2 linked regions of the Diceros bicornis minor genome follow. The main gene of each other region encodes a partner of the protein of the gene in region 2 in a complex. Links are inferred from orthologs where the notes say so. Each region holds a gene or a part of one and is shown on either strand. Other genes may lie near its edges. The genes, in order: PRKAB1 and PRKAA1.

What was found.
Region 1: the proteins of PRKAA1 (region 2) and PRKAB1 are in contact, whole or in part, in a crystal structure (PDB 6C9H), measured with the Homo sapiens proteins. The link is inferred for Diceros bicornis minor from reciprocal best matches to the Homo sapiens genes PRKAA1 and PRKAB1. Residues at the interface, in NP_006242.5 of Homo sapiens: Gly20, Val22, Lys23, Ile24, Thr32, Lys40, Lys42, Asn59, Arg60, Ile63, Arg64, Val69, Ile72, Arg73, Ile76, Gln77, Val93, Ser95, Thr96, Pro97, Ser98, Asp99, Ile100, Phe101, Met145, Met175, Ser176, Asp177, Gly178, Glu179; in NP_006244.2 of Homo sapiens: Pro79, Val81, Arg83, Leu103, Pro104, Thr106, Val113, Ile115, Asp159, Phe160, Glu161, Val162, Phe163, Ala165, Leu166, Met167, Val168, Asp169, Ser170, Gln171, Arg201, Ala202, Pro203, Pro204, Ile205, Leu206, Pro207, Pro208, His209, Leu210.

The regions. Positions count from the first base shown.
Region 1 is NC_080774.1:16,327,366-16,334,474, reverse strand, and holds the start of PRKAB1 (5'-AMP-activated protein kinase subunit beta-1), read right to left. Parts: upstream 3,058-7,109; 5' UTR 2,860-3,057; coding exon 2,701-2,859; intron 280-2,700; coding exon 116-279; intron 1-115. UniProt on the Homo sapiens protein: Non-catalytic subunit of AMP-activated protein kinase (AMPK), an energy sensor protein kinase that plays a key role in regulating cellular energy metabolism.
Region 2 is NC_080759.1:29,092,930-29,101,116, reverse strand, and holds the start of PRKAA1 (5'-AMP-activated protein kinase catalytic subunit alpha-1), read right to left. Parts: upstream 3,047-8,187; 5' UTR 2,996-3,046; coding exon 2,869-2,995; intron 1,667-2,868; exon of another isoform or gene 1,545-1,666; coding exon of another isoform or gene 1,535-1,544; intron 1-1,534. UniProt on the Homo sapiens protein: Catalytic subunit of AMP-activated protein kinase (AMPK), an energy sensor protein kinase that plays a key role in regulating cellular energy metabolism.

The sequences.
Region 1 (7,109 bases), on a different chromosome or scaffold from region 2:
TCCATTCAGCATCCATCTAATAAAAACATTCTTTTCTATTCATCCACAGAAATCATTTGGAAACAAGAATATCGATGGGTTAAGACAAATACATGCATACTCCCCAGGCAATTACCTTCTTGTGAGGGGAAGTTTACTCCAGTTGTTGAAGGACCCAGATAAGTAAACTTCCTTTCCGCCCCCCGTCCATCGAAATACAGTTGGCCGAGCCTGGGCAGAGGCTTTATCATTCACTTCCAGATCATGCTGCCAGGCCAGGAATTCCTCCTTCTCTGGAGCCTAGAAACAGAACAGTTTACTCAGGGACAGGAAGCCATTAATGAGATCCCAACCATAGACAGTTACCCTAATATTGACAATTCATTCTAAAGAGGCAGTTGTTAGGACCTTGGTTCATATTTGGGCTCGTTAAATTATCAGCTGTGACTCAGCCTCCCCACTTGCAAAATGGAGATAATAAAAATACCCATTTCTTAAGGTTGTTGTGAAGACAGAGATAGCCCATGTAAAATGCTCTGCATACTATGACACATCCTAAGTGCTTAATAATTATTAGCTATTACTATTGTTATTAAAAAAGTCTACATCACAATTCTAGGAGAAACTATAAAACTGACTGGGAAGAAGGCTGCAGTGAATCCAAGACTAGCTTAATAAACATCATTCTCCTCCCTTAATTAAGCAAGATTTGAAGGACGTGAAAATTTATTAGGGACAATTACAGAGATGTCAACCTGAAAACTAGCAAATCCAGATTCTGGGGAAAGGAAAAACTATTCACTGAGTGCCGTCCAGGCACTGGGGAGAACAAGATAAATAAGACAAAGACTGACCCTCATTATGGTAAACAATAAGTTCTAGTGTGGGAAGTGCTGTATAACCAAGGTATTCCAAAATAAGAGAGAAATCAACACGTCCAACTCTGTCTGGGTGAAATATATGTGGTTCTGGATCTTTTACATTTTTCCTAATCAGAAGCCAAAGACTTTAAAAGAACAGGAGTTCCAGGCTGGGACAGACCCTTAAAGATGTCAGACAGGCTTCTAGCACCTTCATTTCAAATATTGACCCAAGCTTATCTTAAAAGATGCTTGCATTCTTTGAGCTTTAACAAGATCTACAGATTAAAGAATAACCGATTTTCCAGAGTCACTTTGCACTGAGGACATGATAACTAACCATAGAATCTGTGGCAGTTTTTTTGGTATCGGGGGCATTCAATCCAGTGTGTCTGCTACATCATTTCAGTAACTTATGAGGATATGGAAATGGACACTATTTACAATCATGCTCCACAGATCATCTGTACGCTCAACATTTCTTACACGAGTTTTGGAACAGCAACAGAACAACAAACGCTTCTTGAAGAAAGTAGTTTGATTCTTATGGTGTCTGTCTTAGACAGCTGTCCTTGGCCAAAAGTATTTCTGGGGGAAGGGATGCCAAGTCACAGAAGTATCTGGACTCCCAAGTTCACTTTGCACACAGCTTTTCAGAAATACAACAAATTCAGAAAGCAAGTTCAAATCACAGGATGTAGGGCCAAGTAAAAGCAGGCTCTATAGTCTCAAAGCCAAGATCCAAGTGAGGATATAATAACAACATGATCACCCAGCCCAAGATGAGAAAAAATGTGAGTCAAGTTGGAATGAGTTGCCAGGCAATTAGCCTAATGGATAATGATGATTAATATGCAACTGGATACTACAGAGATTATGACTTAATATTTTAAATAGGCCAAAGCAAACATTTTCGCAGGCCAAAGTTGGGCAGGGGGGCACCTTCATCATTCCTAAACCTAGTTTGTTCCTTGTCCTTTAAGGAATTAGTTCTTTGTTGTTTAGGCTCTACCACATACATAACAGCTGCCAGAATCACTGAGTGTCCTTGGACCAGGCCCTGCAGCTGGCAACAGACCACATCAGGTGGTGAGCAGGAGTCAATAATTGTCTTCAGAGCTCCTGATGAATAAAGTGGACGGCAGCAGGAAGTCCACATCTGGCCTGCAAAAATGTTTGCTTTGGCTTATTTAAAATATTAAGTCAAATTTAAACAACAGGGAAAGGTGAGTAGCACCTAGCCGCCTCCTTCAGAATGACACTTCACTCACCCCCTGACCTCCAGAAGCTGAATCATTTTTGTACGCCCACTCTAAAGGAGCAGGGTGAGTGAGCCCCAAGTTTCAGGCAGAACTAAACACCTTTGGCAACTGCCGTCAGCTGCTCCACTCTGCTTCCAGCTTACACGTGTGCCCTGGTGTGTCTCCAAAATTGACAAGAAACTGCAAAAGCAACTACTACAAAAAGCGCCAGCCTGCCTGAAGGCGAGGGAAGATTTCTCCAAGCTATGAAATTAATTACACCTAAGAGAAAAGCAGAGGCTGGGGCTCAATTACTGCTAACTCGACGATCTTAATTAATTAAGAATTCGAAACTCTGTCCCAGAGCTGCTTTCTCCTTAATAATGTTAAACAAAGTGAGTTCCTCCTCCTCCCTCAGGGTGACTTTCTCGCATCGGTAATTAGATACCGGTTCTTGGACTGCTAAGAGGGATCTTACGGAGTTTTAAGTGCACGGAGTCAAGTATCACCTCCCTCCCCCTTCTGATGATGAATTTTAGACGGGATGTGGCGGGGAATCTAGGAGCGGGTTCCTCCCCTCAGCCTAGGTCAAGGGGAATCGACTCCCCACCCCTTCTCACCTTGATCTCCTCGGGATGGAAGAGGTCGGCGTCCTCGGGGCTGTCCATGAGGATCTTGGGCCTGTCCCCGTCCTTGGCGCCCCCCGAGCTGTCCCTTCGCGGCGTCTTATGGCCGCCCTGCCGCTCCAGCGCGGCGCGCTCGCTGCTCGTGTTGCCCATGGCGGGGGTCCGCGGGGACTCCGGGAAGGGACAGGGGACTCCCGGAGCCAGGGGGTCACAAGGACCCTAGGGAAAGAGTCGGAGGACCGGCCTGCACACCCCACGAGCTAGCGTTCGGAGCCGGGCTGGAGCCGGGTCAGCAGGGCTGGCGAGGTCTCCCAGCCGCGCTTTATCTGCTCCAGCAGCCCCGGCGCGAGCTCTAGGAGCTCGAAGATAACCCCACACTTCCCCAACAACACCCCCACCTCTCAGAACTTCCGCTTCCAGCGCTTCCGGAGGTCGGCCGGGCCCGCCAAGCGCGGGCGGCTGCGGCCAGCGAAGCGCGCGAGGCCACCTCGAGCTCACTTCCGCTTCCGGCTCGGGTTGGCGCAGTCGCAAGCGCAGTGAGGCGGCCTCCGCTGGCCTCGGAGCGCGCAGTCGCAGTCGGCCGCTCCGGCCTGCCCAGGACGAGGCCGCTGAAGGCCGGCAGGGGGCGCACCAGCGCGTCGGGCCTCTGGGCCGGTCTTCCCGCGCAGAGATGAGTGATGCTATTAGATGTCTTAGATATGATATCTTTGCCGACTTCCAGTTGATTCTACACTCTACAGCCAAAGAGGTCGTTCTAAAGGGCAAATCTAATTAAGAGACTCCTCTTCTGAAAGCCCTTTAATTTGCTAACTCTCACGCCTTTGAGTGCCTTAGAATCACCTGGGGTGCCTGTTTAAAATGCAGATTCTCCTGGTCCTAATCCCCGGAAATTATGATTCGGAAGCTCTGGAGTGGGGTCTGCATTTTAATAAGCACTCCAGATGATTCTGATGCAGGTAGTCTTGTAGGTATTTGAGAAAATGACAGACCATAAGATCTCTGGAAATTTCTCAGGTCTGGTAGCTTGGGGGTTGTTAACCGTTGGAGTTAGTAGCATATTCTTCAAAAATTGAGTACACAGCCTTTTGATAGGTAATTTTACAAGATACTTTGTAGTCACTTTAGACACATCATTCTGCATAAAATGCATTTATTTATTAAAAATGCGCCTTCATTTTGGCGCACAATTTTACTTCCAGGAAACTTGTACAGAAATATACATGTGAAAATTACATGCAAGCATATTCATTTGCAGCATTGTCTCTAATGCCATAATACGTTAATTCTAAGACGCACATTTTATTTTACGTTTTACTGTCTCTGAAGCTAGGTGCTTCTTACAATCAATAGAATCTTAGATTTGATGAAATAAGGAACTGAAAAACTGCAAAATCCTAAAAAGCTTGTCAGTAGGAGAATGGCTAAATGAATTAAATAGATTCATTTTATAGAATACTGAGCAACTTTTAAAAAGGAGGAAATAGAATTATGTGGGTAACTATGGAGAGGTGTCTGTGACATTCCAAATCCCAAAAGCAAATGGCAGAACAACAGGGGTTGAGATCATGAGCTCTAAAGTCAGCCTGCAGGAGTTCAAGTTCTGGCTTGACCACTTAGTAACTGTCCCCTTGTTCTCCTCTTTTGTGAAATGGGGAATAAAAACAACGCCTATCTTATAGGCTTGCTTTGTGATTTAATTGAGAACATGCATGAAAAGTGCTTAGCATAGCACGTGACTCTTAGTAAACATTCAGTAAACGTTAGCACTTTTATTGGCATCATTAGTCTTGCAAATGGAAAGTTCTGGAAAGAGCTACAACACGCTGCTAATAGTGGTCCCCTCTGGGGAGAGGAGCGGTATTGGAAACAGGAGCAGATAGAAAGGGAACTTTGACTTTTTAATTTATTGTTTGAAAATTTTTCTATTGTAAGGATGTACTACTTTTGTAATTTTTTTTTTTTTTGTGAAGAAGATCAGCCCTGAGCTAACATCCATGCCAATCCTCCTCTTTTTGCTGAGGAAGACTGGCCTTGGGCTAACATCTGTGCCCATCTTCCTCCACTTTATATGGGACACCGCCACAGCATGGCCTGACAAGCGGTGCGTTGGTGTGTGCCCGGGATCCGAACCCGGGCCGCCAGCAGTGGAGCCCACGCACTTCACTGATACACCACCGGGTGGGCCCTACTTTTGTAATTTAAAAACAATTTTTAAAAGACAAAAATAAACAACACATGGTTCCAGCCCCAGAGGAATTCACAAAGTAGAGGTGGAAGCAGACTCACAAAAAGGCAATAATACATGCAGGCAAGGGGTTCTACGGGAGCCCAGAAGGGACTTCAGCCAGGCTAGCAGATAACCCAGAATACATTCTTTGAGCTGTTTTTCTTGCTTGCAATAGGCAGCGAGGAAGCCATGGACACGAAGATGTTGAGCTTTGAGTTTTCTCCCAAACAACTTGAGAGAGAAGGAAGAACACATGAGTTGTGGACCCCTAATCGGAGCTATGCAGATGCTCTCGCTCATGAAGAAATTTTCAAGACTTCTACTCTGGCTCAGATAAGTGATATCCTGAGGATGCTTTCAATGGTGTTCAGACAATGAGACAGCCCAGTTACTGGGATTGTACAGATGTGACCTGCCCAGGGGTGTCTGCTGGAGGAGGCAAGTAGGTCCTGAGATTCCACCTGCCCGGAGGAACAGGTGCCTTTTTCTAATTTGTACAAATATGCCATACAGACTAGCAGTGGCCCTGGCCTCTCTCCAACAGAAACATCTGAAGCTGAGAAGCAGAGTTAGCTGTGTAAGATCTTTTCTTATGTAGGGCGTGTGCCACACGACACAATAGGGACACACAATTATATTCTGGGAAACCACACTAAAATTTCAGAAAGGACCATTTTAGCTTTCATTGAGCTCACTTTTTTAGTTTTGAATTTGTGTCTCTTTGTTATTGCATCATGTGAAAGCAGATGGATGGATTTACACCAAATTTGGAGGATATGTTTGGGACAGTCTGACTTATGATGCTACATTGTGTTCTCAAAACTGACTTGGGGGCACATTTGGGGAGATCTCAAAGAGATTGAGTATAACAAGGGGTCTGTGTATCTGCTGATGGGGGAGTCTTGCCATGTTGTATTAAGACTTCATGGACAGAGAAACTAACATTGGTATCAGCTATTGGCCCCATATTGAAAATCTGAAGTAGGGTAGACTCTGCAATTACAAGTGTCCACTTGGATCCCAGCTGTGTCTCTCACGGGTCACTTGTGTTACTTATCCTTATTTAACAATGGTTCACCATTCTCCCAAGCATCAGAAATGCCTCTTCTTTCCCTGATTCTTTGCTGGTGTGGGTGTCAGACCACTCTGTTCCAGGGGCCGGAAGGTGGGTGGAAGGGAGGGCAGGGATGTTCCAGGAGGTAGAAAAGTTAGGGCATCACTGTGTCAGAGGCATCCTCTGCTCTCCGGGCTCAGTCTGGAGTCAAGGCAGAGACAGATGATAAGATATCACAAATTCTCCCCAAACCAGGGCAATTGCCAGGAGCCCAGCCTAACCCTGCCTTCAAAACCCTAAGTCCAGAGAGAAACAGATTTCCAAGTCCTTAAAAGTCTCCTCTAGAGCCAGATAAAATCTGATTTATCCTTTACCTGTGACTAAAAGGGCTAAGGATAATGTTTTGAGTCTTCCTCCTGAGGACGGATTGGAATCAGCATGGTACTTATGGACCCACCAACCTGTTGGTTTTATATAAGGGGGCGTCTGAGGCTCAGAGGCCAAACCATTTGCACAGACCACTCGGATGATCACAGGCTGGGCTGAGACTGGACACGGGATCGCCTGGCTCACGGTCTGGCGACTTCCCACCAACCACATCATGGTCCTTCCACATGATGCCGCTTTTCAGGTTGAATTAGAATCCCGTCATGACTCTCATCCAGGGCTGCTGGGAGTGTAATTCAGTCTGACCATCATGAAGGAAAGTTTGACACTTTCTAGGAAAATTTAAAAGGTCCTCACCCTTTGACCCAAACATTTTCCTTCCAGGGGTTTATCCTACAGATATACTCATGCACATGCAAAATGATGAATGGATAAAGTAATCCATTGCAATATCTGCAAGAGGAAACTGTTGGACACAGCCTACGTGTCCACCAGCAGAGGGCTGGTCAAATAAATCACGGCATATTCATGCAATGGCAGCCTTAAGAAATGAGGAAACTCTGTGTGCTGACACGGAAGAATCTTCAAGATATATCACTAAGAAGGACAAAAAGTAAGGTGCAGACCAGGGCCTCAAAGTATGCTAACATTTAGGGGGATGGAGAAAAAAAGAATACCTACGTATTTGCTCGTAGAGGTATAGAAAATCTGAAGACTATATAGGAACCTGGAAAT
Region 2 (8,187 bases):
TAAGTTACCAATGGATTTTTTAGCCTGTAACAGGAAACAAAATAATCACTATGAATTTACAGTTCCCTCCTCCCCAAAATTAAATTTCTTCTAAGCACAGAGCACTATATTGGGAATTTTTCTGCCTACCAATATCACATCTTCTATTATATTCCTTTTCTATGTTAAATTTACCAACATGTATAACTAATTTTAAAAGTTCTATCTACTCCGAATTGTCTCCACTGACACATACAGCTAACCGTATTATTCAAAGGAGTCTTGTCAAATTAAGGCTAGTGTAAGTTACCATCACCACTATAGTAGCTATTTTTGCCTGCTCATCAAGCATTTGGGGGACTGTATGTCCCCCTTTCTCTAGCCTAACAATTAATACTCATTTCTGTGTAGGTATCGACCCTGTCTCCCTACACTATCCAAGTACTTCAGAAGAAAATGGGGGCAGGCCCCGTGGTGTAGTGGTTAAGTGCGCTCGCTCCGTTGCTGGAGGCCCGGGTTCGGATCCCAGACTCGCACTGATGCACCGCTTGTCAAGCCATGCTGAGGCAGCATCCCACGTAAAGTGGAGAAAGATGGGCATAGATGTCAGCCCAGGGCCAGTCTTCCTCAGCAAAAAGAGGAGGATTGGCATTGGATGTTAGCTCAGAGCTGATCTTCCTCACAAAAAAAAAAAAAAAAGAAGAAGATGCACCCCACACACACACATCCAAGAGTGGGCCACATTCCTCCAAGGCTAATGCTATCTCCCTTGCGAGTGCCTACTTAGGAACAAGCGTAAGCCAACTGGCATCCCCTGGCCAGAGGGACTGGATGAGCCAATGAGACCCATGAGAGGTACGCTGGGGATTCCTTGCTCTGGAGAGAGAACCACAGAAAGAGATGTTCTTGATAGGTTGAGTTGGACTTTCTATTACTTGGGGCAAAAAGCATCCCAATCGTTTAACAACTTAAAAAAATGCACTAGCTGAGGATTTTGACCTACATCAACTAAGATATTTATAAACAAATGCAATCATATCTATGAAACCTATGATCCTTTGACTAATATTGGCCTTTCTATATTTGGAGAGGTTGTTGACTTTGACAGTGAGTGATACTTCAAGCGAGTCACATGTGGAGGAGTGAAGGTTAAGGAACAGCAGTCACTAAAGGGATTCATGTCACAGCCACACCACAGATCAAATCCAGAAAACGAAAAATTTCCTCTTGCTTTCTTATATGCCATGCCGAAAACCACCTCACAAATAAGAAAATGAGACCTGACTCTGCTCAAGTCTATGTTAGGAGAAAGATGAGCACCCTCATCCAAACAGAACTCTGGGCAGGGTGAGGGCATCAAGATTGTCATCACTATTTGGGGGGGTATTAATGAGCATTTCTTACAATACTTGTAAATGAAAAGCAGTTTGTAACCACTAACAAGAGACAGCATAGCCAAAAATAAATAACTTCAATGGCACAGAAACATCTTACTGGCCTGATACAGACCCACCCTAATAGCTGTTAGTACCCTATTCTGGCATTTGCTTCTTACTTTCTTGCATTGTTGGCCTTGCTGATTTTCATAAGAAGGTTTAGGCAGTTGCTTCCCTGTGGACTATACAGCAATTTTCCAGTTCTATGACTCAGAAAGGGCAAGAGAAGGAAGGGTTCTCCTCTTCCATCCCTAGATAAAATCAGAAAATGTTTATTTAGCTCTGGGAGAGCAAGGCTCAGTTAGTTAATTCACTGTACAGACTTTCACAAACTTTTTTTTCTTTCAAGTCAAATATTTACCAAGAGCTTAGCGTATGCAAGTCATAGTCTATTACTTATCCAAAGCCAAGGCGTGAATTATTTTGATCAGTTCCATACTTCCTTCCTCTACATCCCTAACAACAAAGTCAAATATTTTAAAGAAAAAAATACTTATGCCTCACAAAGTTTGCAATTAAGCTTTCTGTGCCAGAATTGGCGGACTGGAGAGCAAGTTTGTTATTTCCAGAATACTGTGTTGAAACACAAGGGTAAGAGATTCTGCACCTTTCTTTGAAAAGAAAAAAGGTTCACATGATGTGCACTAAATTGTTTATTAAAATGTAAATATCCTGTGAAAATAAATGGAAACGACTGCATTAATGAACTATTAAATACTATCTGGAGGCAACATCTGCACTAACTACCAGGTTTGGCACAGAGAGACCGCAAAACAGATCATTCAGAAACACCGAAGGCACGGAGTCTGCTTTCAGAACATAAACGATGCATCGCAAATAGAGGACCGGTATAAATTCATGACCTGCTTCGAAAAAAATTAGTGATCCTTTCTGACAAGATGGCCCTTAAAAAAAAAAAGAAAATCTGTAAGCTACTCCCAAAGCAGTCTAGTTTGGGGGGAACACATTATTTCACACTTGAGAATCAGCCGGGGCAGGGAAGCCGACAGCCTCTCAAGAGGACGGAAACACGGACAATGCCGAGGACGGCCAGGGAAGCGACGGGCTGGCCCCGCGCCGAGGGAGCAGAGCCGGGCGAACGCGGGGCCGCCTCCCCGGCGCCCCGACCCCGCACTCGGGGCGCGCCGCGCAGCCCCCGACTGCCCCGCCTGGGAAAGTTCGCACCTCCGCGTCCCCGCCCCTCGCACCGACGAGCCCCTCGGGCCGCGGCGCCGTCGCCATGGCAACCCGCCCCACCCCACCCCCTCCCAGCCCCGGAGGGCCGCGCCGCAGTCCCGCGGCGGCCCGGGGCTCCGCTCCCGCCGGAGCCCGGACAGGGACCGCCGAGCCCGGGAGACGAGGAACGCAGCGGGCGGGGAGGACGAAGAGGTGCGAGGGGCGCAAGCCGCCCGGATCCCGGGCTGGGGCCCAGCCTCGCGCCGGGGGTCCTCACCCTTCACTTTGCCGAACGTGCCGACCCCCAGCGTGTCCCCCAGGATGTAGTGGCCGATCTTCACCCGCCCGTCGTGTTTCTGCTTCTCGGCTGTCGCCATCTTTCTCCAGGAACTGAGTCTGCGCATGGCGCCGCGGGAGGGGGCGGAGGGGGCGGGCAGGGCCGCGCCGGGGGCGGGCGGCCGGGGAGGGGGGGGGTGGGGACGCGGGACGGGAGCCGCGGCGCCGAGCCGCCGCCCTGCGCCGCCCGCCGGGGCCCGGCCGCGGGCCGCCGGGCGCAGACGCTCCCCCTGGCGGGCCGGGGAGGGGTCGCTGCGAGGGGCGCGGGCACCCCCTTCCTCGCCGGGCATCCCTTCGGCCCCGGGCGCCCGCCCACCTGCGCGCGGGAGGGGTCTTCCTGGGTGGCGAAGGGCGGCAGCCCCTGGGCTCCTTCCCTGTTAGCGGAGTCTCTGCCCGCAGGGGTCTCCCTTGATTCTGACTCCTGGGTCGAGGAGACCGCTCTCCCCGTGATTCCGAGGGGCGAGTGAGCACTGGAGAAGCCCACTCGGGTAGGGCAGATGTGTGGCTTGTTACTAGTGCAGCGGGAATTGAAACATGGCAGGGGACAACGCCCTGCCACTGTTTTCTAACCTTTTCATTCGTCCCGTTCGGATGGAATCTGGAAGTCATCGAGAGTTGTCACTTGGATCTTTGATGGAGTGCCCCCTCCCCCTCACCCGCCGCCGCCGCCGCCGCCGCCACTCTTTTTTTACTTTGAGCCAGGAAGTTGTACTGGGCACCTCCGCAGCTCAAGTAGCGTCGTCGGTCTGTCCTCTTGCTAGATGCTCTCCTGAAGTTTCCTCCCCGAAGCAAGCCAAAGCAAGCTCTGTTGGAAGGAGCAGGTTGGGGATGTGTGTGAATGTATGTGTTCAGAAAGTGGGATGTTGCCCAGACATTTTGATGTATAGGAATTAATACTTTTAGATTATCGGTAAAATGTAGACTTGGAACTGAAAACGAGGCTTACAGTTGCATCAACGAAATCAATCGGCAAATATTTATTGTACTTGCAGTGAGTAAGATTTAGCTATTATCTGTAGAAATGGGATCATGTCATATCACAGTGGAAGCGGAGAAAGTATGCTTATTTGTAATAGAATTTTTAAGTGAGTTTGTCAGTCAGTTATGTTCCTCTAACGTGGGCAAAATCAAGTGGCCAAAAAAACCAGTTTATATGATCTCAGTTTTGCAGTGTCATAGCATTTGGGCCAGAGTCAATGAACAAAGAGTTGGACTCTTCATGAAAATAATATTTAAAAAAAAGAATAAAAATGTTATCTTTTTTCTTCCCAATGAAAGCTCCCCAACTCTCCTGATTTTTACATACTTTCTATTTATGAAATCAAAATAACATGCATTAAGCACTGCTTTTTTCCAAGTGAGGTACTGCAGGGAAAGCAAAAGCCTTTGAGCTTAGACTTACATCAAATAAGCAGAGAAGAGTCACAGCTAGCCTTGGATGAATAATCAGTTCCTGCCGCATTATGGACTGCACATATTTTGAAGGGCCAAAAAGTTAAGAAATCTGTGATTACCGAGATGTTTGGGAGGCGGGCAGTGGTTGATGTTGTAATTTTTGCTCCCTGGTTTCTTGACCTTTACTTGTTTGCCTTGTGAGTCTCTGCAGCTCAGAAATAGCTCTCTGGATTCTCTTAGGGGAAAAAAAAACTAATTTTTCCCCTCAGAAATAGCACCGTAAATTACTTTAAATTTGCATCATGTCTAGAATTTAGCCTAGAAAGGTTCTGTTATTTCTTTTAACCTAAAAGAAAAAAATCACAAGGTACCTCAGCTCTATACCCTGCCAGTTAAGCCACAGAGCATCTTACAGGGGGGCAAACTGAAGCTGAATTTTGCAAACCCGTTGCCAATCTCTTCGTGAAACTATGAAGACCCAATTAAGAAAGTAATATAAACTTTTTTTAGCAGAAGCATCAGTTTGTTTCTGTGTTGGTGTTATTTTAGATGATAATTTGATTTAATAAATATTCATTAAATGCCACTATTCACTCAAAAGCATTGTTGTGGAAATAAAACCTAGAATCATAGACCAAAGAATTGAGTGGGAACTTAGAGGTCATCTTATCCAGTCTTCCATAGTCTCTGTTTAAGCAGCTTTTATTTATTTTTTTCCTTAAGTTGAGTTAAAAATTGAATTCAATTAACAGTGTCTAAGAAAGTAAATAGTAAGCCTCCTTTATTCCTTTGCTTTTTCTTTCCTTCATCTCTTATTAAAAGTTTTTGTCACATTTTCTTCCACTCTCTCTTCCCTTCATTCTCCCATTGATCCATCCCCAAACCTTCACTCCTTTCTTTCTTCAAGCATTTATTAACTGCCAGACACTGTGGATAGATACAAAATGAGAACTCATGGGCCCTACCCTGGAGGAGCTCATAGGCTAGGATAGCAGTTCTCTGTATGCCCGTTCCCCATCCTATCCCCCAGGATAGATAATATTCAGATGCTCAACATTGTTCCAGGGTAGAAGTGAAGGTAAGGTAACCTGTGGCTTACACCCAGTTTCCAGACCCATCATTTGTAACTCTACCCCTATCTCAGCAAAGTATATTGGAATTTAAGTGGGGACGAGTGACTTCACAGAAGTAACCTTGAATCCACTCTAGTTTAAGAGGGGGGCTAAAAGTAAATTGTTTTAAAACTTCAGTACTTCGGCTTTTATTAGTACAAATACGTTACATTATATCTCAGCGCTGATGAAGACATACCAGGATGACCCAATATCGTGGTGGAGAACCTCTGGTCTCCTGGAGGAGCTCGGGAGTTAGTTGTGAGCTGCTTCCTCTGTAGCTCTTCAGAGATTCTAAGGGAGCTGTGGGCCTCTTACTCTTTTCTTGTTAAGGCCGTCATAGTGTTAGTAGACCCTATGCTGTCAGGTGGATAGTATACTTCCTCAATATCTATCTCTAAATATGGTGGCCAGAACTAAAAACTCTAAGTACTATGGTGCTATTAATGCAGCCTAATATATCCTTAGCTTAGTTGTAGTTACATTGTAACTAATATTCAATATTTATTAAACAACTAAGTAGGTATTAGGCAGTTTGCTGGACTCTGAGGACTCAGAAAACAACAGAACACAGTATCTTCCTTCGAGTGGCAAAGTAATGTGATAGGTGCTGTAATAAAAACATATATATGGTCCTCAAAGGGCATCATGAGAGGAGGGCATAACCTTTATCTGTGGGGGTCCGCAAAGGCTTGAACTTGAATATATTTAAGGGAGTGTTAAGAGATGGTGTTTTCTACTCAAAGAAAAGGGTGGCATGAGGGATAGAGGAATTTGGGGAAAGCATCCTGGGTGAGGAAGGAGCATATGCAGAATCACAGCTATAGGCTTTTCAGGGAAGAGCAAGTGGTTACAGGGGATGAAATCTGAATGTACAGAGGGACTTGTTAGAAGAAACGAGAGAGAAACAGGACTAAATCCTGGAAGGCCTCATATGTGCTTCTCAGGGACATTATCTTAGAGAGAGTGATGAGCCACGGGAGGATGTGAAGTAGATGCATTTTAGAAATGCATTCTTTACCAAAGAAATTGATAGCTATGGGTACCTTTGGGAAGGGAAACTGGCTGACTAAGAGTCAGGTGCAAGGGGCAGACTTTTTTCCCTGTGTATCCTTTTGTAACTTCTTGGTTTTGAACCTTATACATGTATTACTGAGTTGAAAAAGTTAACTGTTAGAGGGGCTGGCCCCGTGACCTAGTGGTTAAGTTCAGCATGCTCTACTTCAGCAGCCCCGGTTCTCTGGTTCAGATCCCAGGCATGGACCTGCACCACTTGTTAGTGGCCGTGCTATGGTGGCGATTCACATACAAAACGGAGGAAGATTGGCACAGATGTTAGCTCAGGGCGACTCTTCCTCAAGCAAAAAGAGGAAGATTGGCAATAGATGTTATCTTGGGGTGAATCTTCCTCAGCAAAAAAAAAAAAAAAAAGAAAGAACGAATGAATCCTATTTGTAACATTAAGGCATCTAAGAGACATTCAGGTATAGAGATCCATGAATATACTGGTAATACAGGGCTATTACTCCAAAGAAATGACAGTCTAGACATACAGATTGGGTATCATTACCAAACAAATGGCAGATGAAGTAGGGCAGTGAGTATGAATGAGATCTCCCCAGTTTGTAGAGTTAAGGGATCCAAGGACAGAACACTTACTTAGAGAGAATGGATAATTAAGAAGATCCAGAAGCTAATATAAGCCTTTGGAAGAGACAGAAAGAAAAGCAGTCAGTTTATATTCGAAACTCCCAAGGAAGTTACAGTGATTAAAATTAATTTGTGGATAATTGTCCACTGTTTAACTAGGGTAGATGATTCCTAACTCTGGGTTTGAAATCTTTTTATGTTAAAATGTTTGCAACCCCCTCATGATTATGAATTTTAAGCTTCAATTACTCTTGTAGAATTAGGCCCAGAACTGTTTCCTAGACAAAATCTTAGCACTGTTCACAAAGACTCCCTTGACCCATCTCTTGGTAGCTGTGGTTGGTTGGTCCTGGTTAGGTTCCTTACTGTTAACAAGAAAATGTCAACCCTGCCCCCCTCTCAAATGACTTGAGTATCAGGCACGTGGATCTATCCATGATCAGCAGCACAAAGTATATTCATTCACCAAAAAATGTAGCTCCAAACTCCTTGCTGCCCTATTCTTAGCAGTTAAGGGAAATAATATCCTTGGATGGCTGCTTGAAGGATAGGCTGATAGTCTAATTGTACCCTTGGATCACTTGAGACTATCAGAGAGGGAGAAGTAATTGGACTGTCCTGTTTCTGGTTGCTGTTAGACTTATTTTTACTCAATTTGATAATACAAGGGGCTGATAAACATGTGCATGCCTTGAATAGGCTAATAATTTGGTTCTCCATTCAGGCTAGTAATATGGTCCCCTTCAAAACAATATTCTTGGTTCAACATTTATTTCAGTGGAAAGGGAGAGAAAGAGGATGCTGGAGCCGTGTCCCAGGGAACAAAGATTCTGTGGTTACCAGACCCTAACTTCTTAGGCAGTAGTTAACGGGCCATCTAAGCATGCATTTTGTGGGTGGGGAGGTCTCATCCCACCCCAAGTGATTTATCAAAGTAGTTCTTTTTAGCCACATCCTTCCGAGAAGAACTCAGGTAAATAAAAATCCCAGGGGTGTTTTGGCCCCCCAGAAATGTGTAGTATCCCTTATAGAATGGCTCCTGTGCAGCTGCCCAGCTTTGCTCCCTCTAATCTGCTGCCACTGTCCTCTATCCTCAGTGCAGG